Pelodiscus sinensis: one gene and its partners. The protein of the gene in region 4 purifies or fractionates together with the protein of the main gene of each other region. This does not show direct contact. Links are inferred from orthologs where the notes say so. Each region holds a gene or a part of one and is shown on either strand. Other genes may lie near its edges. The genes, in order: NAP1L1, EPC2, ING3 and H2AZ1.

What was found.
Region 1: the proteins of H2AZ1 (region 4) and NAP1L1 purify together in Homo sapiens (affinity purification with mass spectrometry; 3 studies listed by BioGRID and IntAct, with this or other methods). This does not show direct contact. The link is inferred for Pelodiscus sinensis from reciprocal best matches to the Homo sapiens genes H2AZ1 and NAP1L1.
Region 2: the proteins of H2AZ1 (region 4) and EPC2 purify together in Homo sapiens (affinity purification with mass spectrometry; 3 studies listed by BioGRID and IntAct, with this or other methods). This does not show direct contact. The link is inferred for Pelodiscus sinensis from reciprocal best matches to the Homo sapiens genes H2AZ1 and EPC2.
Region 3: the proteins of H2AZ1 (region 4) and ING3 purify together in Homo sapiens (affinity purification with mass spectrometry; 5 studies listed by BioGRID and IntAct, with this or other methods). This does not show direct contact. The link is inferred for Pelodiscus sinensis from reciprocal best matches to the Homo sapiens genes H2AZ1 and ING3.

Annotation. Positions count from the first base shown.
Region 1 is NC_134711.1:68,096,504-68,103,972, forward strand, and holds the start of NAP1L1 (nucleosome assembly protein 1-like 1), read right to left. Parts: upstream 3,015-7,469; 5' UTR 2,872-3,014; intron 1-2,871. UniProt on the Homo sapiens protein: Histone chaperone that plays a role in the nuclear import of H2A-H2B and nucleosome assembly.
Region 2 is NC_134717.1:26,031,029-26,037,931, reverse strand, and holds the start of EPC2 (enhancer of polycomb homolog 2), read right to left. Parts: upstream 3,011-6,903; 5' UTR 2,750-3,010; coding exon 2,597-2,749; intron 1-2,596. UniProt on the Homo sapiens protein: May play a role in transcription or DNA repair.
Region 3 is NC_134711.1:42,743,946-42,751,204, reverse strand, and holds the start of ING3 (inhibitor of growth protein 3), read left to right. Parts: upstream 1-4,258; 5' UTR 4,259-4,390; coding exon 4,391-4,418; intron 4,419-4,553; coding exon 4,554-4,625; intron 4,626-4,658; exon of another isoform or gene 4,659-4,943; coding exon of another isoform or gene 4,944-5,034; intron 5,035-7,259. UniProt on the Homo sapiens protein: Component of the NuA4 histone acetyltransferase (HAT) complex which is involved in transcriptional activation of select genes principally by acetylation of nucleosomal histones H4 and H2A.
Region 4 is NC_134715.1:23,414,868-23,422,456, forward strand, and holds the start of H2AZ1 (histone H2A.Z), read right to left. Parts: upstream 3,019-7,589; 5' UTR 3,004-3,018; coding exon 2,776-3,003; intron 2,317-2,775; coding exon 2,239-2,316; intron 1,722-2,238; coding exon 1,608-1,721; intron 329-1,607; coding exon 199-328; intron 36-198; coding exon 1-35. UniProt on the Homo sapiens protein: Variant histone H2A which replaces conventional H2A in a subset of nucleosomes. Nucleosomes wrap and compact DNA into chromatin, limiting DNA accessibility to the cellular machineries which require DNA as a template.

The DNA of each region.
Region 1 (7,469 bases), on a different chromosome or scaffold from region 4:
TATACTGCCCACTTTGTTATTTTGTGAGCATGTGCAAAATCTGATTAATCCACAGATGAACACATTCAAAATCCAACAAGTTCCATCACTTTCTGGAGCACCTAGCTCTCCCTTAAGTTCACCATACAACTACTGACCAATTTAGGTTAAGATGGACAGATGCATAGCCCAGTTTACCATAGACAAATACCTAAACGTTTTTGAAACATCCAGTGGAGCAGAACTGACTTTTCCTGGGTGATGCATCAGAGATGGAAGCGGTCTCTTGCATCCATAGGGATAATACAGACTAATTCGACACAAGATCCCAACATTGTTTTTATTCCTTTGGCATCTGTTTAATTTCTAACATCTCTGAATGAATTTATTTCATGTAGTTAGTTTGTACTTTGGAAAATCTGATAATGGACAACTTCCTACCAAAGTCAATGATCTGCAGAAATTTAATTTAGCAACACTTGGTTACATTCTCAGGAATGTGATATCCACCTAGAATAGTAATCTCAGATCAAGAAAGAAGAGCTGCAGGAGAGCTCTGCCACACAAATGCACAATGCCTACCTCTATTCAATATCATCTTTTCACATAAGCGAACATCTTCATAAATGTGTAAATGATTAAAACAATTTTTCTAAATTTCTAAGAGACCTAAAAAGTCCATCTCCTGTTTCAATTTAAATTCAGTATAATTCTGGTAAGAGCTTGAAAAGTTTACCAGACACAACCCCCCCCAGGCAAGGCCAAGTAAGAAACCTAGTATCTCTACCTGCTAAAAAGGGTGCTTCCATACACTTTCCAGAGCCTCTACTCTCTTAAGCCAGACAGTCTACTTTTCTCCTCCTCCTCCCAGTGTCTCTGGTCTGCTAGAGATGGTCCGCAGCAGACCAGGGACACCGGGAGCAAAGCCGCAGCCGCGGCGGGGTCCCACGCCTCTGGCTTTGCTCCTGGTGTCCCTGATCTGCTGGAGACCCCCAGCAGACCAGGCTTTTGTTGTGGACCCTGGGGCAGAGCAGCTGGGGCACTGCCGGTTGGTCCCGCAGCACCGCTCTGGGCACTACTGGACCAACCCGGCAGCACCCCAGCTGCTCTGCCCCAGGCATCCCCAAGTCAGCCGCTGCTGAAACTGACCAGCGCTGACTACAGGATGCCCGAGGCAGAGTTGCTCTGCCCCAGGCTTCCTGGAATCAGCCGCTGATCAGTTTCAGCAGCGGCTGACTTGGGGACGCCTGGGGTTCTTAAGTTGAATCTGTATGTAAGTCAGAACTGGCGGTCAGTTTCAGCAGTGGCTGAATCTGGACGCCAGTTCCGACTTACATACAGATTCAACTTAAGAACAAACCTACAGTCCCTATCTTGTACGTAACCCGGGGACTGCCTGTACTCCAGTCTTCTGGTCTTTTGATTCCTCTTTCCCTGAGGATCTCAGTATTTACCTCTGCTGTTGGTGGTCTTAACATTTCCCAAGAAGCATGCTATACATGAATGCATTGAAACAGGAGATAGACTTGTTTTAGGTCCCTTAGAAACTTAGAAAAATTGTTTTAATCATTTACACATTTATGAAGATGTTTATACATGAATGTTCCATCCAGCAAGCTCCAAACAGCTAACAAATCTTATGAATTTCACTTTGCTACTGCAAAGATATTGAATTTTTGGCTACGCATTAAGGAAAATATCAGTACATTGATTATCCTCCGTTTACTTTCAGAGAGTTATTTTACCAACCAAAGAAGGTTTGGTTTTGTGTGTATGTTATTAAGCTGAACTGCCATAGAAATTCATGTTGTAAGTGCCTTCCTGGTTTCTTGGGATAAACTTAAAAAACAATAAATGGTCTGGTAGCACTTTATAGACTAACAAAACATGTAGATGGTATCATGAGCTTTCGTGGGCACAGCCCACTTCTTCAGATGACCAGAGAATATATTCTGATAGAAGTAGTATTACCCAACTGGCAACATTATAAAAACAACCCCTCTGCACTGCTTGGCACGTGCTCAGGTTATGGAGGTTACCAATACATCAAGTTTCCGTTTTGACAAGTGACCACTCCATAACCCAGACCATTACTTGGAATGGTGAGTAAGCACCAAGAAGGAGGAGCATGCAGCGCCCAACTCACTAGGTACCATGACTAGGGGGGAAGCTATGAAGTGACTAGAGCCAGCTCTTCGAAAGGCGGGGGGAAAGAAGAGGAAGGGGGAACAAGCTATCTGTCGCCAGGCTCTGAATCGCTGGGTCCGCCTGTCAGTAACAAGTTGCGCAGCACAGAAGCCGCCACGCTTCCCAGGGAGAGCGCAAGGAGCCAGAGCTAGCAAGGCACCTTCGCTACCCACCCCAGGCGCACACCCCCCACGACACTCCTCAGCCCACCCCCCCCCCACCGCACATAGCCCACTCTCCCCCCCCAGTCCGCCTAAGAACAGCCTCCCCCATCCACCCACCCCGCCCCCTAGCTCCCATCCCTCCCCGCAGGCACAGGCCGGAGCAGCGCCATCCCCACGTGCTGCGAGCAGGCAGCCTCCCCCCTCCCCGCCGCCAGGCCCGAGGCAGCGCGGCCTAGCGCGACCCCAGCAGCATGGCGGCCCCGGGGGAGGGGCAGACCCGGCGCTGCTCCCTGGGGAGGGGCAGAAAGGCCCCGCAAAAGGGGAGGGGCCCCGCGCCGCGCAGACACCGGGGGAGCAGACTCCGTCCGGCCCAGCCGCATCCGCTGCCGGCCCGGCCCTGCCCGTGGCGGCCCCTGCCTGCCGACCCCGGAACAGGGGCCCGGCCCGGCCGAGTCCCCCCTCGCCCGCCCGCCTCTCCCCGCCCGTCCACAGCCGGGCCGCTCATCCCGCCAACGGCCCCCGCCAGCCGCCTCCCCGCTACCTGCGCCGGGCCGGGGCTCGCAGTGACTCAGGAGCGAGGAAGAAGCCGCCGCGCGACTGGCGGTAAAAAAGACCCAAGCTCCCGCCGCTCGCGCTCATATAGAAATAACGTCACCACGTTGCCCCCTCCTCCCCCTTCCCCCGCGCGCCTATGCCTGTCCCTAGGCAACGCGCGCGCGCGCCGGGATGAGTGACTGGGCGGGAGCTGTCCGGCATCGGCCCCGCCCCTTTCCGTCCCGCGAGGGGTCGGACAACCGGGCGCGCGAAGAGGTCGGGCTCGCGGGCGGGGCACAGCCTCGGGCAGCCCGGCCGAAGCATGGGAAGCAGCTCGCAGAGCGTAGCGCGCACAGCCCCAGACCCCACATGTGGGCATCGCCTACGCCCTGACCGCAGCTGCCCGGGCCGCGTGAGATCTCTCCCACAGCCTCCTCCCCCCAGGTCCCACCTGAGATTTCACAGACACGCACAATGTGAGTGCAAACACGTGCCTGAGTGTGATCTGGCTCACACAGCCATCCCACCAAATCCCAAGTGTGATCACACACCAGTGCACTGCAGCGCAGGCTGAGCATACTACACACAAATTCCCTTCACAGGGCCGGCCCACAACATTTTGGCACCTGAGGCAGGGAGCTCAAATGACACCCTCATGTCCCTAGCTTGGGCCAAAACTTTGAAAGGTCTCAATTCTGCCTTCTTCCTGTTCTACTCCTCTCATGGTACTGCAGAGAGAATACGCATGTACCAGCAGCAGACACAATTTTCTACACTGGGTGCTAGTGGCACACACACACCCCCAGTCTGGCACCGGAGGCGGCTGCCTTAGTTCACCTCATGGCAGGGGCGGTCTGTGGCTATAGGCGGACTTGGCCGCTGCCTAGTGCGCCACCGCCCGGGTCGCCCGATGATGACGTCACAGGGGCGCCCATGGTGCGCGACGATGACGTCAGGCCATTGATGGCCCTGCCGATCACGCGTTCCGTCTGGGGCGCCAGCTGTCACAGCTGGCCTCAGGCCGCTTCTGCCTCATGTTAAGGCTAGTCATGTCCCTTCCAGGCTGACGCATGACACCTGCACTCTGTTGCAGGCCAAAACACAACATACACCCCACCAGCCAAAGGGTGACAAACACAGTCCAATCCCCTCCTGCATAGAATAAAACACTAACTCAGAAAACAAACTGTTGTGTATAAACAGTTCTGCAGATAACACAACAGAAGTGCTGTTGAACTGTCACATGAGATAGCAACCAACGCATGCAAATTGCTGTGTAGATTTGAATGAAGTTCCCTCCTAACTTTTTGTTTTGCACTTGGTTCTGCTTCTGTGAAATGAGAACAAATTTCCTCACAAGAAGCATATTTTCAAGATAGCAATTTAAAGAAATATACTGTATGGAACTTTTGGAATACAGTAGAAGAAGGCAAAAGAAAATGACATGGTCTGAATAAAATGAAATGCTGAGATGTGATTGTGCACCTGTTGACATAAGAGACTTTCAGTATCCTTCATTTCTCAATATTTGTAACTGTCCAAGGATAAATTGTGACTTTTGTCTTACATTACAAAGGCTGCTCATGGAGCTAGAAAACAGAAGCAAAAAGTAATAAACTAGAAATTGGCATTAGACATAAGCCCAAATAAATTTCAGGATGTGGAGAAGATATAATGTAAAGTTGATAAACTCAAAAAAAGAAAACAATTGAAATAAGATTAAATATGAGAAGAAAAGTTAAGATCTGACGCCCCTGGTTATAGTGATAATTTCAAAAATGAAATATACTAGAGATTGCATACAATACACTATTATGTGACTGGAGGGGGACCTTGAGTAACCCACACTGAAAATGTCAAAATGTAGGCTGAGAAAAGGAGAGCAAATTCTCCCAAAACTAGTGACAAACTGTGATTAGATTCACCATCTAGTCACAAAGGCTACATCTAGATAGCGGGGCTATTTCGGGATACTGGAAGTATCAATTCTGCATCTTTAAACGTGCCCGTTATTTCTAAATATATTTTAAAATAATGGGTGTGCTCTTCTGGCATCCCTGTAACCCTTGTTCCACGAGGGTTAAGGAATTTGTTGGAATAGCGCTTTATTTTGAAATTTGGTGCTATGTAGACACAGCTATTTTGAAATTACCTCAAAATAAGCTATGCAATTTGCATAGCACCCAAAGTGAGCTCTTGATCCCTATGCTAGTTATCAAGAAGCTAAATTTTTAAAAAAAATATCACACAACCCCTTTATTGCATTCAGTTCTCTGTCTCCCAATTAGCAAATAGTTTCAGTAAGGGGAGGAGTTATTAAAACTGTTCACCATACAAAATGTTTTCGGATCCACAAAGGGCCAGCCACATTATCAAATCAATACTAGTTTGTATTTTACCCAAAGTACCATGCTACCAGCCAATCCTTTAATATATAAAACTAAAGGTTTATTATATAAAAAAAACAAGTAGAGAATTGTCAGAGAAATCAGATACATATATATGACTTCAGATTACGTATTTCAGATTCTTAGTTGCATTGGTAAGTTTTCTGGCTTGCAATGTCTTTCTGAAACATATCCAAAGTATGGAAAGTCTATCAGTTCTTTTTTCAGAGCTTTAGTTGTACAGAAGTTATTCCAGAGGTAAGAAACAGGAGTGAAGAAAAATGGAGAAGATGCAGCTGCTTTTTATATCTTTTGCCAGTGGTGTCTATATCTTTTGTCCCAAACACAAACTCACAGCATGTGGCATAGAAAAAGCATGAGTCCCCTGTCCACAGGTATGTCATGACATGTTTGGCTGACTCTTAAGTGTAGCCCCATGTTTCTTTCAATGGGTTCATTGTATATCTGATTGCACTCAATAGGTCATTGAGCATGCTGGTCATAGTGCTGATGCCAGTCTGTCTGAGGGTGTCACCCAGATACACAGCACAAGCTGGAAATATCAATATATCACACACATTTATAACTACAAGACAAAGATGATATGTGCATATAAACATGATTATCATATTTAGCCATCATAACTTTTCCACTGATACCTTACATGGCATATCTTGTAAGAAGCACTGCAATTTTGTAACATTGGCATCAATAATATTATATATAGTCACACATATTCCATATAGCATCACAAACTAACAATGGATTGGAATTCAAATTTGTAAATAACTGTGTTTGTTGTGGCATACATAGCCATAGGAAATAGCAATGAAAGGTCAGGTCCTAAATGAAATATCAGTCTTGGATAGAAATTCCACATTAAGTAGTTTATTTCCATTGCTATATAAAATCATTAGAATAAAGTATAGGACAAATAATTTTATTAGTGAACATGAAAAAATGGGCCTAAAGGAGGTGAGGGAAGAGAAATAGCTGTATCCATTGGAGTGCGTGTAACTATCCCAAATTTACTTAATAGTTTCACAGAAAATTCTATGTACTGGAAAGTCAGTGTCCTTATTGTTTTGGGTAGTTATTGTGATGCAGTTAAGGTTCATCTGATTTGTGTGTTATATGGTCAAAAGTATGGCAACACTGAGGATCATGTAGCTTTCTCACTTTGCTTTAAACTGAAAAGAACAATCTCACTAGTTCCGGGTAGGTCTATACTTAAACATTATGGCTACGGCTACACTACACATTTTTGTGGCAGAAAATATGCTAATGAGCGACTCATTAGCATAAACTGTGACAAGATTAGCATATTTTCTGCTGTTTCTTTTTGTGCCAGGGGTTTTTGCGCAAAAAGAAGCAGTATGGACATTTCCTTTTTGTGCAAAAACCCTGTTTTGCATAAGATCCTTATGCCTCTCCAGGACAGGCAAAAACATGTAGTGTAGACATAGCCTACAGTGACACAGCTGCTGTGCTTTAGATACTACACTGTAGTGCTTCAGTGTAGACACTACCATGATAGGAAGGATTCTCCAGTCAGCATAGGCAATCTACCTTCCCAAAAGGCAGTAGCTCTAGCACTGGCTACACTAAGGGCTAAGTTAGCATAGCTACATCTCTTAGGGGTGTAGATTTTTCGCACCCCTGAGAGACATAACTATGTCACTTTAAGTTTTCAGGGTAGACCTTCAATTTTTGCACAGTAACAGAATCCATGGTAAGCTTGTGCTGCAGGATTCCCAGTTAGATTAGTCATTGCACAAACATGAAAGAGAATGCAGTGTGTACTTCACCCTGGAAAGGTCAGCATGAGAGCTGGGCAGGAAACAGTTTTCCTATCCTGTAAATATGTTTCTGATATTAAAAAAACCCTATCTTGAATCAGCACAAAAATTCAAAATCTTAAAAATATCTATGATCTGAATATTAAAAAAATATTTTGATTCAGGTTAATTACAACTTTTTTTTGAGAATTTCAAAACATTTCATTTCAGTTTTGACTATTAACATCTCTACTATAATTAGTTCAAATTTCAAAATGAAAAATCCTTTCAAACTGGAAAACTAGAATATTTCATTTAGAAAATCTGAAAACAATTTTTTCAACATTTTGAAGTCAAATAATTAGTCACACCCAACCCTTTCCTGTGAACCATTTCAGTTTTTATAAACTAAATTTCCCAACCAGATCTACTCAACACCA
Region 2 (6,903 bases), on a different chromosome or scaffold from region 4:
TTTGGGAATCTCCCCAATACTCTCAGCCGTGAAGACTGAAGCAAAGACTTCATTTAGCTTCTCCACTATGACTTTATCATATTTAAATCTAATTCTCAAACTTCCATTAAAAACAATTTTCTTGCACCAGTGGACAAAAGTGTAAAAAGTAAAGGTAGTAAAAACAGTTGCAAACATAGTGAAAACAATCTTAATCAGTAGATCTTGAAATTCAATGAGAAATAATAATTCAATGAGAAATGTAATGAGAAATAATGATGACATCGTTATATATTATACCACACAAATCTCAGTATGTAATGACCTTAGAATTTAACATATACAAATTCCCTCCCATTTTAATGTAATGGGAGCACTTATTTTGTTCATACATTAAAAATCACTTACACATTAAAAGGATTTTATAATATATAAGTTAGCCCAATACCCTCCCCGCCCCCACACACACACACACACACACACACACACACACCTCTAGTGTAACAATAACACAGGCAATTTATGACATTTTCTCCTCAACAACAGAATACAGAACTCAGAAAATTTGTATTTGATGTATTTACTTAGTTTAACAAGTAACATTCTGAACACTGGTATATTTTAAGATTCTAAAAAAAATACTGATAAGGTAAGATAATGGAGATTGCCTATCTCCTAGAACTGGAAGGGACCTTGAAAGATCATTGAGTCCAGTCCCCTGCCTTCTCAGCAGGACCAAGTACCATCCTTGATGAATTTTTGCCCCGAACTCCTAAATGGCCTCCGCAAGGATTGAACTCACAACCCTGGGTTTAGCAGGCCAATACTGCCACTTATATTTTTTAAAAGTCTAAATCAAGAGTCATGTTTGCCTTTTAAAGAGCTTCCATAATTCACAAACAAGCAATATGTTGCAAGGTCTGCTACTGTGACTTTTAAATTACATTTTACTGCAAAGGAAAAGTAAAACGTACAATCTCCAAGTTTGCTTTAAAATTATTGTTTTATGTTTATACTGTTCAGAATGTTTTATGGCTGTCTGTTTAAAATTATCTAAATACACACATATATTCCAGGGCAATTGCAACCTCTATGATCAAAATACAGCGAGAGCACTCTAAGCGTTGATCACAAGATTTCTTTCAATATTCTACTGTATTGAGAAAGCCAATCAGAGAGAGTTGGAGCCTTCTTCTGACAGCCACAACCTCTGATAAGCCAATCCATGCACATAGTGGGCTGGCTACAAGGCGGAGACAGAAATTCATTGAAGAAATTCTTATGGGTGCATTTACTCTCCACTCTGCATACAACTACAGCAAGTCTGATGAAAACCTAGTAGTGCAAGTGGTAGTCTTGAAGACTACAGTCAAGCAGCACTGCAATCATGGACAGCAAGTATTCACAGTGCTGTCCTAATGCTGACAAGACTCCTCTTAAAATTATTTTCTGGTAAATATACAGACAGCAATGTATCTCTACACACAGCACTGCAAAATTGGACAGCAAGCATTCTACAGGTGATACGTTTCCTAACATTGATTAGCTTACTTAAAATCATCTTAACACTAAACAGCATGTTGTATACTAGAAAATCTAGGTCTAGCTATAGATCCAGTTAGAGCTATGCAATGGTATTTCACATATTCAACATACAGTTACCATTTTTCTTAAACATATAAATACAGAGCATTCTTACAGCAGTGATGATATATTTACAACTATACGATCTGCAACAGCAGACAGCTGGTATTCTACTTGCAACATTTACAAAGCCTTTCCTAAAGAGTGTAAATAATGCAGCCTGCACCCGAGTGTGTGTGTGTTTTGCAGGCTGCAATATCACCCCAAGCACAGCAATGGAAAGATAAAAAGAAAAGCTCCAAACATGTTATTTTAAAATATTGACCAACGAAGCACAAAAGCTTTACATTATAATGCCCACGGCCGCTACAGCACCGCGGCAATGGACAGCTGAGCTACTGCAAGCCATGCATGCTCCCGACACTGATGCATCAGTTAACATCCAAACTCAGAAAGTAAGTGCAGTCTGTATTTGACAGCTTGAAATATAATGTGGGAATAGGGTCTCCCACCAAGTTATTTCACTCTCGAGTAGCGTCAGGGACGCTGATACCCATAGTATGGCAGCTTAGAAGCAGGACACACTTCCATTTTACAATGCAAAGCCTTCCTGACTGCACGGAAGGAGCACAGCGTAGACAGCCCCCTCCACTCCCCTGCTGCCTTGGAGTCCCACATACACAACAGTGAGGAGTGCAGCAGCACAAGCACGCTACGCCAAGAGCGGCCGGCGCGCACACTGCCGCATTCAAAGATGCCTCTTGCGCCTACTTCTCCCTTACGCTAGCGTAAGGGCCTCCCCGGCTAATCAAAACACTCGCGAGTTTGGACGCAAAGAAGATGGCGGAGCAGAGCCCGCTTACGGCGTCGGAGGAGAGTTTACGCTGCGCTTCTTGCGCAGGACCCATAAGGACCACGCAAGGCTGCGGCGTTCAGCGTGCGTAGCGCGCTTGGCGAATACCAATGGCCTATTTCCCGGGAGGGGAGGGGGTGTCTGATAAACAATGGTGCCCCCCCTGCGCGGCTCCCTTACCGATTCCTCCTCCTTCTCCATGCCCGTGGGCATCTGCGGCACGGCCCGGTTGATGGAGACGCAGTCGTTGAGGTCGGGCATGTCCTTGCCGCGGTAGATGGGCAGCGGTTTGGCGGCGTCTAGCGCCCGGGCTCGGAAGGAGAGTTTGCTCATTGTCTCCCCCTCACAATAACACCCCGGGGCCGGGCGGGCGGGGGGCCCCTCACTGCGGCCGCGCCGCCGCCTCCCAGCCGCTCCCGCACGCGGCCCACAACACCATGGAGAGCCCCGCCGCCCCGGCTCAGCTTCCCGCAGAGCCGCCCGCAGCTCGCCGCGCACGCCCCGCAGCCCTAGATCCGCGCCGGGCTCGCTCGATCCGCTCCCTGCGCCATGGCAAACATGGCGGACATTAACCAAAGCGGCCAGCGATCCCGGCAGCCAACGCGAGAACTAGCGGGCGGGGGGGGGGGGGGGGGGGAAGGATGGTGAGGGAGTGAGAGGGGGCGCCGGGCTGCGCGCGCAACCAGCCTGTGGCGAGGGCTTGAGGGAGAGCGCGGCGGGGGCAGCGCGACCCTGGCTGCGGGGTGAGGGCTGGGCAGGCGGCCGGGGACAGGAGTTCGTGTCACGGGCCGAACAGGTGCGTTCACCCGACTCCTCAAGCATCCGACGCGGTGACCTGCTCGAGTGCGTGTCTGTGTGTACACACTCCTGCCCTCACGTGCGCCCGGCCCCGTCCCACGCGGAGAGCGGTACCGCTGCCCGCTGCGCAAACACCTGCATGGCCCGTCGCCAGACACCACCGCCGCCTCCTCCGAACTGCCTACCCCCAGCAGACCGGGATGTAGCTCTCCCGCAGCATGAAGCTGCGCCGCACACAGCTGCAGATCGTACACTAATACATATTTTTCCATGCACCTATCACCTGGCATTGCATAGCCCTGTAGCTCCCTCATCCTTTCATGCATTATTCGCATATTGCAAGGGGAAAACACTTGGCACAGCCAATTGTACACATGATGCCTTTGAAGCAAATGGGAGATTTGGTCATAAACTTAAAAAAAAAACACAAGGATTTCTGCCATGGTTCCCAAAGCATCCTGCAGTGTTAGCTAGAGTTACTTATGCGCAGTGCTTTTTTTGTGCAGGTACTGTCGGGTACTCGGTACCCGCACCTCCAGACGCAGTACCCGCACCTCCAGTCAAAGCTCAACAACTTTTCCCCTGGTGTACCGGCACATTTTTTTAATCAAAAAAAAAGCACTGCTTATGCATGAGGTAATTCCTCTTGGTAGCCTATTTCCTGTGAGAGCAGTCAAATCACAAATAATGCATTAGCATCCCAGAGTAGCTCAATCCCCACTGTATTACTACGGGAGTGGCAAAGTATCAGAGGGGTAGCAGTGTTAGTCTAAATCTGCAAAAGCAAGGAGGAGTCCTGGGGCACCTTATAGACTAACAGATTTATTGGAGCATAAGGTTTTGTGGGCAGAGACCCACTTCAGCAGGAGTGGCAGCAGCACTTAGCTCAAGCAGGAAACTTGTGTCTACACAGGTCAGAGGTTAAAGTTAAGAAGCAACATAAGTTTAAGTTGAGCTAATAATGCAAAGACGACGAGTCCATCGTTTCTCTCTTTTCCCTTGGTGTTCTTGGGGCAGAGTGTACTGCCCCCAGTACTCCTGGCTGGGGAGGCTGGACCCACATGGCTTCCTTCCTCCCAAATGCTAGGGCTGCACAGTGTGCCCTCCTCTCTCTCCTACTGCTTCAGGGAGCATGTACTTGCTCACCCCGTCCAGTCTCTTTCCCTCCCTGTGGGGTGTGCTGCCCCACCACCACCTCCTGGGGAGGAGAGCAGGCTCAGCACAGGGCAGGGCTGTAGGTGGGGGCAGGCCTGCCTCCCCCAGTCCCAGCTGCACCAACCACCCATACTCAAAAGCTTGTTTCTTCATTGATCCAAAACAGATACTACCTCACCCACCTTGCATCTTTAATATCCTGAGGATGCCACAACTACAAATTACCCAATTAGGAATTTAACTAGGTCACTTGAGTTAATATACTGTACTTACATTAATGAAAATGAATGGTATCTTTACTTACCAAAAACAGTAAGAGCCTATGGTGTATCTCATTTGAAAGTTGTTAGGCCAGATTCTTACCTCAAATTTTGTCTGATTCAGCACCTGTTAAAATAAAATGAAATTTTTCCATCGACTTCAGTGAGATTTGGATTAGGTTCATCATAACCTCTAATCAGTGGCAACTGTTCGGGAGGAACATAAGGGAAGCACACCAGTCATGTGACTGCCCCATGTGACTCCTCCCTATGCTACCCTGAGCCCTGGGGAGGGCCCCCTCTCTTCCCATCACAACCTCATATCTTTCCCCAACTTCCTCCCTCAGCAACATGTCCTGAAGAATTAATGGGGTGGGGCCTGATCCCACTTGCACTGAGTTGCTGTTTTCCCCACTGATGAGTGTGTGTGTGGGGGAGAGGGGGCGACCCCCTGAAGCCTATGCCCTTCCCTCCATGGCAATTTGGGGAACACATGACCCTTTTGTGTTCGATCCCCACGTGTTGCCCCTTGCCTCTAATCATGCAGTACTTAAACAAAACCCTGACTGACTTCTTTAGGCCTTCTACACAAATCTGTCAAATACCTGAGCTCGGGATTCCATGTTTCTCCTACGGAAGTTGATAATATAACTCAGGGGACTAGTTAGCCATCTAAAATTTGGATACAAGTTAACTAACACTATCATCCTACCCACCAATGGGAGACCATCTAAACTCCCAGGTTACGTCTACATTGGCAAGATTTTGCGCAAATACTCTTTAACGCAACAGTTTTTGCTTTAGAGTATTTGCACAAGAGAGCGTCTACACTTGCACGTGCCTTTGCGCAAAAGATGTGCTTTTGTGCAAGAGCATCCGTGCCAGTGTAGACGCTCTCTTGCGCAAGAAAGCTCTGATGGCCATTTTAACCATCGGGCTTTCTTGCGCAAGAAATTCATGTTGCCTGTCTACATTGGCCTCTTGCACAAGAACAGTTACGGAAGAGGGCTTATTCCTGAGCAGGAGCATCATAGTTCTTGTGCAAGAAGCCCTGATTTCACACATTAGAACGTCAGAGTTCTTGCGCAAGAACTCCCCACCAGTGTAGACAGGCAGCAAGTTTTGTGCAAAAGCGGACACTTTTGCGCAAAATCATGCCAATGTAGACACAGCCTCAAAGTAGAATATCATCACTAACACAGTAATAGAAATGTAGCCGTGTTAGTCTGGTGTAACTGAAGCAAAATGCAGGACTATGTAGCACTTTAAAGACTAACAAGATGGTTTATTAGATGATGAGCTTTCGTGGGCCAGACCCACTTCCTCAGATCAAATAGTGGAAGAAAATAGTCACAACCATATATACCAAAGGATACAATTTAAAAAAATGAACACATGAAAAGGACATATCACATTTCAGAACAGAAGCGGGATGCGGGGGGGGGGGGGAAGGAAGGTAAGTGTCTGTGAGGTAATGGTATTAGAGGTGATAATTGGGGACGCTATCTTTGTGACATCTTTATGATCTGGACACATGGCCAAGAAACACTAGAGATATTCCACAGAGATTTCAACAACCTACACCCCACCATCAACCTCAGCCTGGACCATTCTACAGGAGAGGTCCACTTCCTGGACACCACAGTACAAATCAACAATGGAAAATTAGACACCACTCTCTACAGAAAACCCACTGACTCATACAGTTACCTACATGCTTCCAGCTCCCATCCAGAACACACCATACGATCCATCGTCTATAGCCAAGCCCTTCGATACAACCACATCTGCTCTAATCCCACTGACAGAGACCAGAAACTTCAGGATCTCTACCAAGCATTTATAAACCTCAACTACCCACCCGGAGAAATAAAAAAGCAAATTGAAAGAGCCAGACAAATACCTAGAAACCATCTACTTCAAGACAGACCCAAGAAAACCAACAATAGAACACCACTTGTCATCACCTACAACCCCCAACTTAAACCTGTCCAACACATTATCAATAAACTACAGCCTATACTGGAACAGGATACCATACTCCAAGAGGCTCTGGGAGACAGACCCATAGTCTCCTATAGACAACCACCTAACCTCAAGATGATTCTTACCAACAACCACAGGACATACCACACTAATACCAACCCTGGTACCTTCCCTTGCAACAAATCCTGTTGCCAGCTTTGTCTACATATTCATTCTGCTGATACCATTATTGGACCTAACCAAGTGAGTTATAAGATCAAGAACACATATTCCTGCGCATCCAGAAAT
Region 3 (7,259 bases), on a different chromosome or scaffold from region 4:
AGATTTCCACTCAAACTTTTATTATAGAGATCCTTGTCCCTTCCTTTGATACAAGTCACTAGATAGAATCAGGATGAAGTACTGGCTGGACCACTGGTCCTGCACTGGTATGGTAATTCTTATGCTGCTGACAAATCAACCCCATTTACAACTCTCTACCCATCACCCATCAAACTCCATTTACAATGCAAGCTGTTTGGGGGCAGAGATCATCTTTTCATTCTGTTAGTACAGTGCCTAGTATAATGGGGTCCTGGTACATGACTAGGGTTCCTAAATTCTCTGGAAATACTACTACTAAAACAGCCAAACCCTGTCCTTATTGGACTGAGATGAAACATGAAAACTTCATTCCGAAATGGCATTTTTTTAGTAAATGATGAAAGACTAGAGGAATTCAACCACAAGTCTAATTACCTCTGAGAGGGCCATGGTTTCCTATATTTTGGACTAGGGGTGTTAGATACCATGTATTTCAGTAACTGTACAGTTGGAACAGTTTTAAGCAGTTATATGGTTACTAAAAATAGTCTGGGGCCAGGGCTGGCAGCCAGTGTGCTCCCAGCCCCACTCCCAGGGAATGCCCCCTGCTACCCTATGCTGCTGCCTCTCCACAAGGAAAAATGGCTTAAAAATTGGCACCCTATGCAGACCACCTCCCACTTGCCACCCCACGCTGCTGCCTCTGATACAGAGGCAGCAGGGTGGGGTGGCAGCAGCCCCTTTTTGCAGGGGGTCTGAGCTCCCCATGAACAGAAGCTGCACCAGCATCCCACTTGCCCCCCATATAGAGGCAGCAGCACAGAGGGATGAGGGGGTAGGGGGCTCTGTGGAGTTGGCATACATGCACAAATGGCTTAAAAGCCGGCTTCCTCTGGGCACCGGTTCCTGCCTCACATCCCCTTTGCTGCCTGATAAAGGGGCAGGGGAGGTTGAGTGTAGCTATTTTAGTTAACCCATAAGTCTAGGCTTATGGGTTAATCATTTAAATGGCTATACGTTAATATCCCTATTTTGGCCCTGACCCAGAGTCGAGTGCATTCAATGGAAATATTCTCAAGTCAGTGGGTTTAAGATTAGGCCCACATCATATTTTATATAATAACTGAATATGGACAGTGGCAGCCTCTATTAGTGATTCATGTGATAATATATGGAGTTAGTTGCATAATACACTTGGTACATATGTAACCCACAAACCTTATGGATGTGATGTACTGTCTCATGTAGTGGCACTGATACCACTTACAGCGAGAAGAATGCATTTGCTCTACAGGCTCAACTGAGAACCAGCTAGCTTTTAGCTCAAGCTCTAGAGGCTCATGCACTAAACTCCAGAGGACCCAGGTTCAGTTCCACCCATTGACAATACATATACATTATATTAGTTACATACATATTGTTGACCCATGTGCAGTATTCCTAACTTCAGGGGTTCAGAAATGAAAAGTCAGGCTCCAAAATACAGAGCCAAAATTAGTTTAGTTTCAACACCAAAATACATTTTTATTTGAGGTTTTCTGGGGCCTTTTTAAAGACTTGCTATATTTTCAACCTTTTTTCTGACTGGAATCCTGGGCTGTGTCTAGACTGGCCAGTTTTTCCGGAAAATCAGCCGCTTTTCCAGAAAAACTTGCCAGCTGTCTACACTGGCCGCTTGAATTTCTGCAGAAGCACTGACTTTCTACTGTAAGAAATCAGTGGTTCTTGCGGAAATACTATTCTGCTCCCGTTCGCGCAAAAGTCCCTTTTGTGCAAAACTTTTGTGCAAAAGTGCCAGTGTAGACAGCTCAGATTTGTTTTCCGCAAAAAAGCCCCGATCATGAAAATGGCGATCGGGGCTTTTTTTGCGGAAAAGCACGTCTAGATTGGCACAGACGCTTTTCTGCCAAAAGTGCTTTTGCGGAAAATCGTCCGTGCCAATCTAGACGCTCTGTTCCGAAAATGCTTTTAACTGAAAACTTTTCCGTTAAAAGCATTTCCGGAAAATCATGCCAATCTAGATGCAGCCCTGATGTCTAGTACTATACATTTTAAAATCAGTGATGCTGCTTCCCCTGCATGATACAGAGGATATGCAGTTGGAAGTGGCAAGGAGGATCAGCAGTGCTAGTCTCCCACTGCCTGTTCAGGTTTGGGCCATGACTCTCCAGAAAGGCCTACGGACAAGATGCCAAAACAGAGTGAGTGACATTGCAACCTGGTGCAGTAGGATCACTTGTCACACAAGGGAAGGAGTGCAGGGTCATCGGTGCAGCTTTCCTTCACTGCCACAGAATGTGCTCCTGCTCCAGGCCACCAGCCTTGCAGACCATGTACTCACTGAATGATGGGATGTGACATTTCCAAGATTGCCAATCATCAGTAAATTCATGAACAGTCCATAAAGAAGAGCTAAAATTGGACCTGTTTGTAAAATCCATAAAAAAAATCTAGGTATCACTAAAAAACACTGAGCTTTGGAGCACAGCTGAGGAATCCCTCCCACTTGGTGCCAAGGCAAGCTCTAAGCTAGGGGAGAGATAGATACGTTGAAGGGTAGGGATAGGGTCCAGAGTGACCCAGACAAATTGGAGGATTAGGACAAAAGAAATCTGGTGAGGTTCAACAAGGACAAGTTCAGAGTCCTGTTCTTGGGACAGAAGAATCCCAAGCACTGTTACAGGCTGGGGACTGACTGGGTAAGCAGCAGTTCAGTAGAAAAGACCTGGGGATTACAGTGGACGAGAAGCTGAATATGAGTCAACAGTGTGCCCTTGTAGCCAAAAAGTCTAAGGGCATATTAGGGTGCAGTAGTAGAAACATTGCCAGCAAATGTAGGGAAGTGATTATTCCCCTGTATTCGGCACCGGTGAGGCTGCATCTGGAGTATTATGTCCAATTCTGGGCCACACATTACAGAAAGGATGTGGATACATTGGAGAAAGTCCAGCAAAGGGCAATAAACATTGTTAGGGGGCTGGAGCACATGATTTACAAGGAGAGGCTGAGGGATTTGGGCTTATTTAGTCTACAGAAAAGTGTGTGTGGAGGGGGAGTGGGGGGGGATTTGATAGCAGCCTTCAGCTACTTGAAAGGGGCTCCAAAGAGGCTGGAGTCAGGCTGTTCTCAATAGTGACAGATGACAGAATGAGGAGCAATGGTCTCAAGTTGCAGTGTGGGAGGTCTAGGTTGGATATTAGGAAAATCTATATTACTAGGAGGATGGTGAAGCAGTGGAATGGGTTACATAGGGAGGTGGTGAAATCTCCATCCCTAGAGGCTTTTTAATTACAGCTTGACAAAGCTGGGATGATTTAGTTGGGGTTGATCCTGCTTTGGGCAGGGGGTTGGACTGGATGATATCTTGAGGTCTCTTCCAACCTCCATGATTCTGTGATTCACTGGGCAGCTCCAGGGACTCTACAATTTCCATGGCAGGGGCAGAGAGGGGAATTCTCCTGGTGAAGATGGCTTCAGTCTCTGATGGTTGGAGGATGCTGCCTCCAGTTTTGAACTCTGTTTCGGTATCCTTAAAGTCAGCACAGCAGCAACTTTTGGTGAGTGTGTGTGCAGCACACACTTCTGCCTGGCTCCCTTGGACTGGGAGAGATGAGTACAATGTGCTGGGCATCAATCACCAACTGCCTGCTGGTAAATCACAGGACTGGTGGCAGCCCCCAGTCCCAGCTCCTCCCCCTCTCCCCCCAGTCACTTCATCACACACTGGAGAACTTGGAGGGCTCTGATGTGACTAATAAGTAGGTGCAACTAGCATAATAACTTTGCTGTGTGACCTATGAATTAAAACAAAGAATATTGTTCACTTTGATCCTTTTGAGCCATTTTCATGTTACATAAGAATGTGTCCGAACACAAGCCGGGGGGGGGGGGGGGTCTGTATTTTTTTTTTCTAAACGGTCCATAAAAATCACTTTCAGAAGCTGGCTAGCCTGGATGCCGCCCTTCGGCAGCGGCTGAGCACAGCGCACGGTGCCTTGGCCAGCGCCGGCCCGTGGAGATCGCGCTGGGGCTTGGCAGCACCCCGCCACGCGCTCCACACCCCGCCTGCTTCTGCCTCGTGGATTAGCCCCGCCCCTCAACTCCGGGGCGAGTCCGTCTCTACTGGGAGGAGGGCAGCCGCCGCTGGGCGGTGCATTGTGGGACATGTAGTCCCGGCTCCCGCCTTCACACGGCTACTACGTTTCCCAGGACCTTGCGGGCGGGCGCGAGCCATGGCGTACGTCAGAGGCGCAGGCAGCCAATCGGCGCAGGGCCGGAACGAGCCCCGTCCGCCGCCAATGTTGTTTTCGCCGAGTCGAGGTGCTGGTGTTGTTGGCGGCGGCGCCATATTGGAAGGGACGATCCCCGCGTTAGCGAGAAGCCCCTTCGCGCTGGCCTCGCCGCCGCCATGCTGTACCTGGAGGACTATCTGGAGAGTGAGTGCGCGCGGGGCGGGGGTCCCAGCCGGCCGGGTGGCCGAGCGGGACGGGGGCGGCAGCGAGGGGGCTCCCCCTCCCCCTCCCATGGCGGTGATTGACTGCTCCCTCCCCCTCCCCTCTGTGTCCCCGCAGTGATCGAGCAGCTACCCATGGATCTGCGCGACAGGTTCACCGAGATGCGCGAGATGGACCTACAGGTGCAGAGTACGTGAGTCCCGCCCACCTCCCGCCCACGCGCCCAGCCCGCCGGCGGGGGCGGGCGCGGACCCAGCGCTCTCAGTCAGGCGTTGGCCGGCGGCGGTAGCGCGGCTCGTAGCCGCTGCTCCCGGGCTGAGCGGGCCCGGCACGAGGGGACGCTCCTGCCCAGCGAGCGGTCCGTGCGGGTGCCGGGGGTAGCCGCGGCGCCTCACGCAGCGAGGGGCGGAGCGCGCTGGGCGGAAACGTGCCGAGCTGTTTCCCTTCTGCCACCGGCTGCCTCGTGACCTCGAGCAGCCATGGGCGAGCGGCGCCGGGTGTGTTGACATGACACCGAGCCGAATTCGGGTCTGCAGATGCCCTGCGGCAACGCCAGGGGGAAGGAGTTTCACTGCTGGGGCTTGTGCGGCGCCCCAGGGCAAGTCAAGGTGGCACTTACCAAGCGGTGGGGTGCTGGCTCTCAAGTCCCTGGCAACGGGCTGGAGCTTCACTTGCCCCCTTCTATCAGCCGGAGGCTGTGCACTGTGTCTGAACCATCCCTGCCTAGGCATGCTGGATGAAGGAGTTCCCTACACATCCTTTTCCGGTTGCTGGCACCCTAGCTGTGCTTGTCAGGAATCCAGTCTTCTTGGGTATCTTTGTGGTATTCCTTTTTGCCATCCACTTATGGCTCATTTTCTATTTTTACTTTTGTTTTTGGGAGTCCTGCCTTTTGACTTCCTTTGACCACTTGTTCCTGTAGGGATTCAGTGACAGGATACCACAGAGGATGTCTACCTGGGATTAGGTTTTTGCTTTGATATGATTCTTCACGAAATCTCCGCTCTTTGTGAATCTGAGGTGTTGAAACATCATGCTTTAAATAATTTCTTTGATTTCCATATGTTGTCTTGATTTCTCAGACAGGTAGGAAGGCAACTCAGCAGCATCATACTATATCCTGGAGATGATCTTTAATGGATGAGCAAATTAACAGGTTTGGGCCTACAGTAGTGCCTTGGATCCTCTTGCAGATGTAACCCAATTAACTTAAGTATGGTGGAGAATGCCACCTTGAGGCACAATCCTGAAGACTTTCATCCATCTAGCAATAGATCAATCCATAGGTTTCTGAAATAAAAGCCTTAACCAGTCTTGATCTCTGAACATTGAAATTTCTTGTTGTCCCAGTGGGTCTGGTTCATCAGTCTCACCATCTCTGTTGAAGCATTCTGCACCTGCCCTCTATATCCAAGGACTCCGACGTGTCTCAGCCTTTGTGTACTTTAGGCTTCAGGGCTTGGAGTCATTGATATTGAATTATGACTTAAAAGGTGTTGCTAGTTCTTACAATGTAAGTAGGTGATACCAAGAGAAAACCTGCAGCCCTTTGATTTTTGGCAGCCTCTAACTGAGACCACAAATATATCTCTTTGACTCATGATTTGGTGCTTCTTTGGACGGGGGTGAATCTTTTCACACACAGTATTTTTTTTTTTAACCAAGATTACCCTAATGTCATGGGAGTCAATAGAAAAACTTTTTTCCCAGACCTTTGTAACTCCAGTGTTTCTTGTGCTTCACAAAGTAGTGTAGAGCTTTCCAAAGTAGTGTAGAAATTCCAGGCACTCTTCTTATCTCTTCCAATCCAGCTGTTTGTGATCATGACTGCTGGTTGGACATTACATATGAATCAGAGAACTCTTGGGGTGCAGCAAGACTGTGATCAATGCAAGGATCCCATCTTCCCAAAATTTTTAAAACAGCTGTGTAAGTCAACTGACTTGAGTGGGTGTTGGTTTAGAAACTTAGAAGTGACATCTGGGCCAGGAATCCCTCTCTGTTAGAATTAAAATTACTCTTGCACCATGTTTTAGACCATCTGGGGGACTGGGAACCTCTCATTACTAAATAGTCATAGAAAAAGTATATAACTTCAAGTGATGTGTTGAAAGTTTTTAAGATCAAGTTGTAGATTACCAAGCTTATGTAGCCTAAGGCCAATCTCTGGAAAATGCCTTCACCCTGGTAGAACATTTTGGCAAGAGAAATGCCAAGGTCTTTAGAAAATTGGCTCATAAGGGCTGCTATTCAATGATTAAGAAAAAGTTGTGGGTTGTGTCCTGTACCAGACCTCTTTGAGGACCTAAAAAATAAAGAATGGAAAGGCTGCCCTTCATTCTTTTGGCCCTCCTCCCGCAAAGGAGGGGAGGGAAGACCTTTTTTTCCCAAAAGCTGCCTCTTATTAACCATAGTGGATTTCAAAGGAACTTGGCTGAACAAGCTATTAAACCAGCAAAAAAACCTTGCTTTTAAAAAAATTGTTCTGAAGTATTTAGATATCTGGTCACTATTCCTGTGAGTACCTTTTATTGTCTTGGTGAAAAGGGGAGAATAAGAGCTCTTTGGGCATATTGGTCATATGCCATTGTTCTATGTGCTGTAAGATTAGGTTTTAAAATGGTGTAACAGAGCAGCTGAATTTCTCCCTGACTTCTTGAAAGCCATTTACCCAAAGGACTTAAAAAAGCAAGTGGACATTGTTTGGTATGTACATAGGCTTGCATAGATACCTTGATTTGCCCTGCACAGAAACTAGCTGGCTATGTTTTTCTTCTATTTGAGTTCTATTAAAGGCTTAGTCTGATGTGGTAGCTTTTTCAG
Region 4 (7,589 bases):
TCCAATGAGAGATTTGTGGATATGTGGTATTACACCTAAGGGAAAAAACACCAAGAATTAAGGCAATTTTGAAATGCATTTTCCCTATGTCATCCAAAATCCAGATAGTACTGCAATTGTGTATTAATTTTGTAAAATGCAATTAAGTCTATTTGACTTGAAGTTTAGTTTGAATAGCTATGAGTTGGAATTACATACCACCACCAGCAATTGTTGCCTTAATGAGAGAGTCCAATTCTTCATCTCCTCTGATTGCAAGCTGCAAGTGACGGGGAGTGATGCGCTTCACTTTTAAGTCTTTGGATGCATTTCCTGCCAGCTCAAGAACCTGCAGACAGAGTACATTCAGACCCTACCCACCATATAGAGATTGCAGTAGTTAATGACATCTTCAAAATAGCCGGAAAGATACCATAGGCTAGGGCTACATAGAGATCATCAGGGTCTTGTGTAACAGTTTTGCAGACTGCACTGTTAAGTTTGGACACAGTATTAACAGATTGCATTGCAGGATAATTCCTCAGTCTCCTCCCCATAGTTTGAAGGGGAAGATATTTTGCAAGAGTAAGGCAAAAGAGTTGTGACATTTTGGAAAAAAGTCACACATGCCTCCATGCAATATGATTGGGGTAGCTTATAAACCATTTCAGATCTGATCAAACAGTTTTAAAAGATCATTTAAAATGCAACAGCATCATAGCTATAGTGCTCTCACTACAGCATTTCAAGTGTAGGCATTACCTATGCCAACAGGAGGGGTTTTTACATCAGCATAGATAATAAGCCTCCCTGAGAAGCAAAACTAAACCAACAGAAGATCTGCCATTGATCTAGCATTATCTACACTGGTGATTAGGCTGCTTTAACTACAATGTTCAGAGGTGCAGATTCTTCACACCCTTAAGCAATGTAAAATGCAGGACAATGTAGCACTTTAAAGACTAACAAGATGGTTTATTAGATGATGAGCTTTCGTGGGCCAGACCCACTTCCTCAGATCAAATAGTGGAAGAAAATAGTCACAACCATATATACCAAAGGATACAATTAAAAGAAATGAACACACATGAATAGACAAATCACATTTCAGAACACGAGGGAGATGCGGGGGGGGAAGGAAGGAAGATAAGTGTCTGAATTGATGATTAGAGGTGGGGAGCATGGGATGTTTGAGTTAATGGTATTAGAGGTGATAATTGGGGAAGCTATCTTGATAATGGGTAAGATAGTTCAAGTGTTTGTTCATTCCTTTTTGGAGAGTGTTGAATTTTAACATGAATGACAGTGCAGATGTAAAAGGTCTTTGTAGCAGAATGCAGGTGGTTAAGTCATTGAGAGAGTGTCCTTTCTGGTTAAAATGGCACTACATTAAGCAATGTAGTGATCTCAACCTAACTTTAGTTGAGAACAGACCACAGGGACATCCGTTTATGTTTTTACCAACTTAAATGGGCTTGTAGGGGAAAATGATTAAACCAAGGATTCTTGAACACAACTCTACGACAAATTCCAATAGTAGAAGTATTTCAGAAGACAAGCAACCTTGGTCATTATGCAGCGCCAGCAATGTCAGCTGCTTGCCACATTTCCCCATGGTTCAATTTTACCTCAGCTGTCAGGTACTCCAGAATAGCAGCACTGTATACTGCAGCTGTAGCTCCCACACGTCCATGGCTGGTGGTCCTTGATTTCAAGTGTCGGTGGATGCGGCCAACAGGGAACTGCAAAGGGTCAGAATAGAATTAAAGTGACTCAGGCTTTATCAACAGACCTGAAATGGCTTGTAAGATAGAAGATACACCAATCATATCACATGGAAGGGCTTGGGACTGGCAGACAGACATCACTGGGATAAGAGTGTAAAGTTGCAGTCTTACACTTCTTGCTTCTCTACAGCACTCAGGCAGCAACACACAACTACCCCCTCTACACACATTGAGCGCTCAAGCTCATTGACTATAAAGCATACACCTGCAATTCAAGTAACTGTTTGAGTGCTTTTAGCAGGCTCTCCACCCTGAGATTACACTAGCATAGGTGTGATCCAGTCGTCCACTGTATGTTTTGAACAGTGGGTTGGACTAGACAAATTCCTCAACCTGATCTTCCATGTAAGAAGCTCACGATTTAAAAACCTTGCAATAAGAGTATTCTGCCGTAACTTTGGAGGGCTCTCCAGCAAACCCTTCCCAGTCCAGAGCGATTGTGCTATAAGCAGATAGCTCGCCCAGTCCTCACCTGCAGGCCAGCTCTCTGTGAGCGGGATACCGCCTTGGTCTTGGTCTTTCCGGAATCCTTTCCAGCTTTTCCACCAGCCTAAGGCAAAAAAGCAGAGATTAATGGGGAGCAGCACCTGCCACAAGCGCAGCGTGCCCCATGCTACCCCATACAGAACGCAAGCAGTGAAGGTAACCGGCGCGCGGCGCCTTAAGCGCATGCGCCTCCCGTATCTAACCAGCGTGTCTAATTCCTCCACGCTAGCAGGCCCAAGCAGCTTCCCGAGCGCATGCGCCCCACCCACTTCCGGTCATCGGTGGCGTCACTACTGCGCGTGCGCCATCTCCCTTCTTTCCTCTTCTCCCCCTCCCCCAACAGGTTTAGCATGAGCACCTCCCATTCAGGCAACCGCCACCACCCACCGTTAACCCCCTTCCTTCGCGCGCTTTCACCCTCCGCGGCGCGTTCAGTTCAGCTTCGGCCCTTCCCGCAGCAAGGCGACGTAGCCGCCGCACCCCCCAGTCTCCCCGCTGAGCCCCGTTCCTGCGGCTCTCTTACCATTATGAGCGGTGTTGCAGCGCCACAAACGGGTAGTAAGCGAAAGAGCGCGTGCCCAACCACACCAGCCCGAGCCCAGCACCCGCCGCGATTCAAACTGCGCCCGCTCCCGCCTTGCGCGAGCGCTTTATAACCACCGAACGTGCCCGCATCCGGGAACCCGGCTCCTGCTGCTAGCCAATCGACTGAGTGGGGACGGGCCTTCGCTGAGGCGCCCGGACCAATCATAGGCCAGCGAGTGGGCGGAGTTGGTAGGGTTGAGTGACTGACAAGAGCGGGCAACCCGCTTCCTCGGGTCCTCAAAAGACTCCGTCCATATTTAAAGTGACGTCACCACTCCTCGCTCACGGGCGTGCTGAGTGCGTGGTTCATTGGGTCGCGCTCCGGGGCGGGGAAAGGTGGGAGCCGGGGCCTGTGTCTCGTGACTGCTTATGCAGCTGCCCGGCATCCCTGCTGCCTGGCTCAGCACAGCGGGTGCCTGGTGCATCTATCAAGGTTGCTAAACGGGCGCTCAGAAAACATGAGTCAGTCCTGCCCCTCCCCCCCCCCAGGCTTGCCACATGGCTGTAAAAATCAGGAGCCTCGTGACGCTTTGTGAGAGGGAGTGTGACATGTTCCCTGGGGCTGGAGTACTCCGAGGGCACGTTTTAAGTCTCGATCTCTGTAGAGCAACTAGAAGCAGGTTTTCTTAAAAGCCGGTGAGATTATCTTGCAGCCACACATCATTCCAAGTGTTTTTAAGGAAGATACCACTTAGTGCAAGAGTTGGTCATGCTACATTTGTTTTCCCACAACAGCTTTTATTTTGTCAAATGCTTAGCTGCTCCTGCCTTCTAGACCAGTGGTCCCCAACCTTTTGGGGGTGCTGGGCACCTGGGGGTGGGGCCACTCACGTGCCGGGTACCTGGGGGGGGGGGGGGCTGTGCATGCACCCGGGGGCAGGGCCACCCATACGCCGCGTTCTCAGTGCTGGCGCCACCCATGCGCCACACTCCTGGGGCCGGCGCTGTTCCTATGCTGCACGGCCAGGGTTGGGGCTGCCCATACACCACGCTCCTGGGGCCGGTGCCACTCCTGTGCCGGGTGCCAAGGGGCGGGACCGCCCATGCACTGCACTCCTGGGGCCGGAACAGCCCATATGCTGCATGCCTGGGGCTGGTGCCGCTCCTATGCCACGCACCCAGGGCCGGCACAGCCCCATGCACTGCGCGCCTGGGGGCGGGACTGCCCATGTGCTGCGTGCCCGGGACTGGTGCCACCCCTGTGCCACGTGCCCGGAGCCAGCACCATCCATGCGCCACGCGCCGAGGTTCAGGGCCGGCCCCGATCACTCGGCGGGTGCACAGAAATGGCCTGGCGGGTGCCATGGCGCCCACAGGCACCACGTTGGGGACCACTGTCCTAGACTAAGGGGAGACTTTTTAGGACCTTTCCATTTATTCCAATGAGTCTCAAGAACAGTTACCCATTGCGTGTCTGCGGGAGGTGGGTGTACCATAATAAGGGTCTAGTCAGGGGCGCCCCGTCATTACGTCACGGCCATTGACGACCGTGCAGGTGGGGGCGCCAATCGCGCCTTCCACCTGGGGCGCCAGCTGCCGCAGCCAGCCTTGGGCCGCTTCTGGGTCTAGTCAAGTGACAATCAGGAAGGAAGATGTTTCCAATGGAGTTATCTTAACATGATTAATAGTTCTCTGCTCACCCTTCTCAAGCACAAATCTTTGAAAGCATATTGCAACCTATGTGTATATCTACAGAGGCCCTCAACCTTGAGTTAGAATTAATTGGCATTCTATACTCAGCTAAAACCCCATGTAGACATTTTGTCAGGAACTAGAAGTTTTTCCATGTAACTCCATTAGGTATCTTGCAGGTTTCTTTGAATTACCTGGTATTAATCACTGTCAAGATAGGAGACCAAAGACATCACTGATTGATGCAGTATGGCAATTGCTAAGTCAACTGTCATAAACTTGGTAAATGTGGTGGCAGGAGATGATTGGTGAAGCACTTTTGATTTAGGAATTCGTTTCCCATCCTACTGTTTTATTGTTGCTATGCTGAGAAACTGAAATCCTCAAACAGAATTAACTCAAAGTTTGATCTTGTTCTGAATTAAAACAAGAGCTTAAATTTAGAAGTTTTCAATGAAAAGGGCGTCCCTATCACAGCAAGGCTACGTCTACACTGGCCCCTTTTCCGAAAGGCGCATGTTAATTTCACAGGTCGTAATAGGGAAATCCGCGGGGGATTTAAATATCCCCCGCAGCATTTAAATAAAAATGTCCGCCGCTTTTTTCCGGCTTTTAGAAAAGCCGGAAAAGAGCGTCTACACTGGCCCCGATCCTCCGGAAAAAAAGCCCTTTTCCGGAGGATCTTATTCAAAGTAGGAATAAGATCCTCCGGAAAAGGGCTTTTTTTCCGGAGGATCGGGGCCAGTGTAGATGCTCTTTTCCAGCTTTTCTAAAAGCCGGAAAAAAGCGGCAGACATTTTTATTTAAATGCCGCGGGGGATATTTAAATCCCCCGCGGATTTCCCTATTACGACCTGTGAAATTAACATGCCCCTTTCGGAAAAGGGGCCAGTGTAGATGAGCCCCACAAGTCATCCTATGCTGAAAACTGAAAGGGCAGGCTGTCAAGAAGCCACTCCCAGACTCCTCATCAATCCACCAGATAGAAAGTCTGGCAGGATTCCATGAAGCCCTGCCTGCTTGCCATCTAGCCTTCATCAAAATTAAACCATCTCTACAGAACACTTAAAATTTTGACAAATCAGTATTCTGAGGGGAAAAAGTCTATTTATAAGTGCAAGATAAGGTCATTTTCAGACTTGCTGGAGAGGATAATACTGTTATTTCCTCAAGTAATGTTCTGAGGGAAGACGGGTCATTTTAACTTTGGTCAAAAGTTTCAGAATATTTTATGTGCATACACCCTCAAAGATTTAATGATGGGCGGGCTTTATAAGTAACAAAAAATAAGAAGTCCCTGGTATTTATATTGTAACAAGTTACTCTGCGTGGACCTTCAACATATCTTACTCAATGAAAGTTTCAATTGTCTGGCAATCTAAGCAAGTGGCATTTTTAGATATTGCAGCATTACCATCTTGAACGTACCATTAGCATTTTATAATAGTCTTCATCTAAAATAGAATTTATTTGATCATTGTATAAGGTGTCTCCGGTGACAAAGGGGCACATTTTTAAAGTTATTTGGATGTCTGAAGATGTAGGATTTTTAACTATGCCTGGGGTATTCAATTTCTACTGAAGTAATTTTGACTTGCTCACCCGGGTACTTTTGAGAATCACTGTAGGACCCTGTCTGCCTCTTTAGATATCTAGGGCTAGATTCACAAATAAAACTGGTTTCCCCTGACGTACAGTGAATTCTCAGCCACTGGTGAGCCATCCAATGCATGGGGAAAGTTAAATACCTACAAAAGGGGGTTGAAACCTCCACACACACTCCTCATTGGTGGGAATGGCTCAGATACTTTGGTGGGAAATGTCAAGGGGCAGGGCCAAATTCTTCAGAGGTAGTTAAATTCCTTGACTGAATTCACAGCCGCTACCTCGCTTCTGCAGTGAGGTGCCTAAGGCAGGTCAGCCTTTTCTTGTGTCAACAGCCACATCCATCAGTGCTAATAAGTCAGTGGTTAGAGCACTTGCCTGGGATGAGAGAGACCTGCTTTCAAATTCTTGCTCTGCCTGATTTGGAGCAGCAATTTGAACTTCATTTCCTACATAATGGGGGAGTCCCCTGGCTATTGAGCAGAGAGATTTCATGGATGACTCTGTAGCCTGTCTGGCTGCTGGAGCATTTGCCTGGAAGGGGAGACATCCAATCTCCTTGAACTAGTGATCTTTTAAAAAAGTTGTTTATCCACTTTGGACAGCTTTTATGGGAGAGACTGAGGGAGCCCCACATCATAATACCCCATTGCCTAACAGTTAGCTTAGTTCAAATCAGAGAGAGTGTGTGCAACTGAGGGTGTCCCACATCCTGGGTGGGAAATCCACTTCTGGACTAAAAGTTTTGAGAGGTCATGCCCCTCACAGGCTTCTTGTTAGAACACTTAAAGAAGCTTTGCGCAAAGAATCCCAATCAGGAAGAGACACCTCCCTGCAGACTGGCTCAAGAGAGGCATGGGGCTTTACACACCCTCCCTCTCAGCTTGGCATCTCCCACAGCTATTGTAGAAGCAGAACTACCTACCATGTTCATTTGTGTGAATCCCATAGTGAGGTACTCAGTTCTCCCCCAGCCAACCTACAGGGATCCCAGGCACCTAATGCAGGCTTTGTGAATAATGGTGCTTTTTCTAATCACTGGTAGGTGTTGCGAAGTTGAATATCACTATGCCAAAGTTTCTTTGTAAAGCTAGTGTAATGAGCTGATGCTGTTCCAAAATATGGATAGATAAGGTCACACTGACACTGCAAGAATAATCCACTGCAAGAATAGTTTAAATAACTAAACTATTTAACTATTTAGTCACTAGTTCCCTCCCCAGCCATTGTGTATAGACAGGCTGTTATAGCAGGAATCCCATAACTGTAATTTCACTGTAGACAGAAAAAAAAAATCTGCTACGAGTATATGTCCAGCGTTTTTCAAATCCTAATAGCAACAAAATATTTGCAGTGTTGGATTTTTTTGGAAGGAAAAAAAAATCAAGTGCAGACTTTCATGCAATATTGCTGTTGTACAATTAGGTATTTAAAACCTAACGTGCACTTCTGGACAACCTGAACCTTAATCTTGCCTTTTTATATTGTTAGTTTTAATGTGATCCACATCCTATT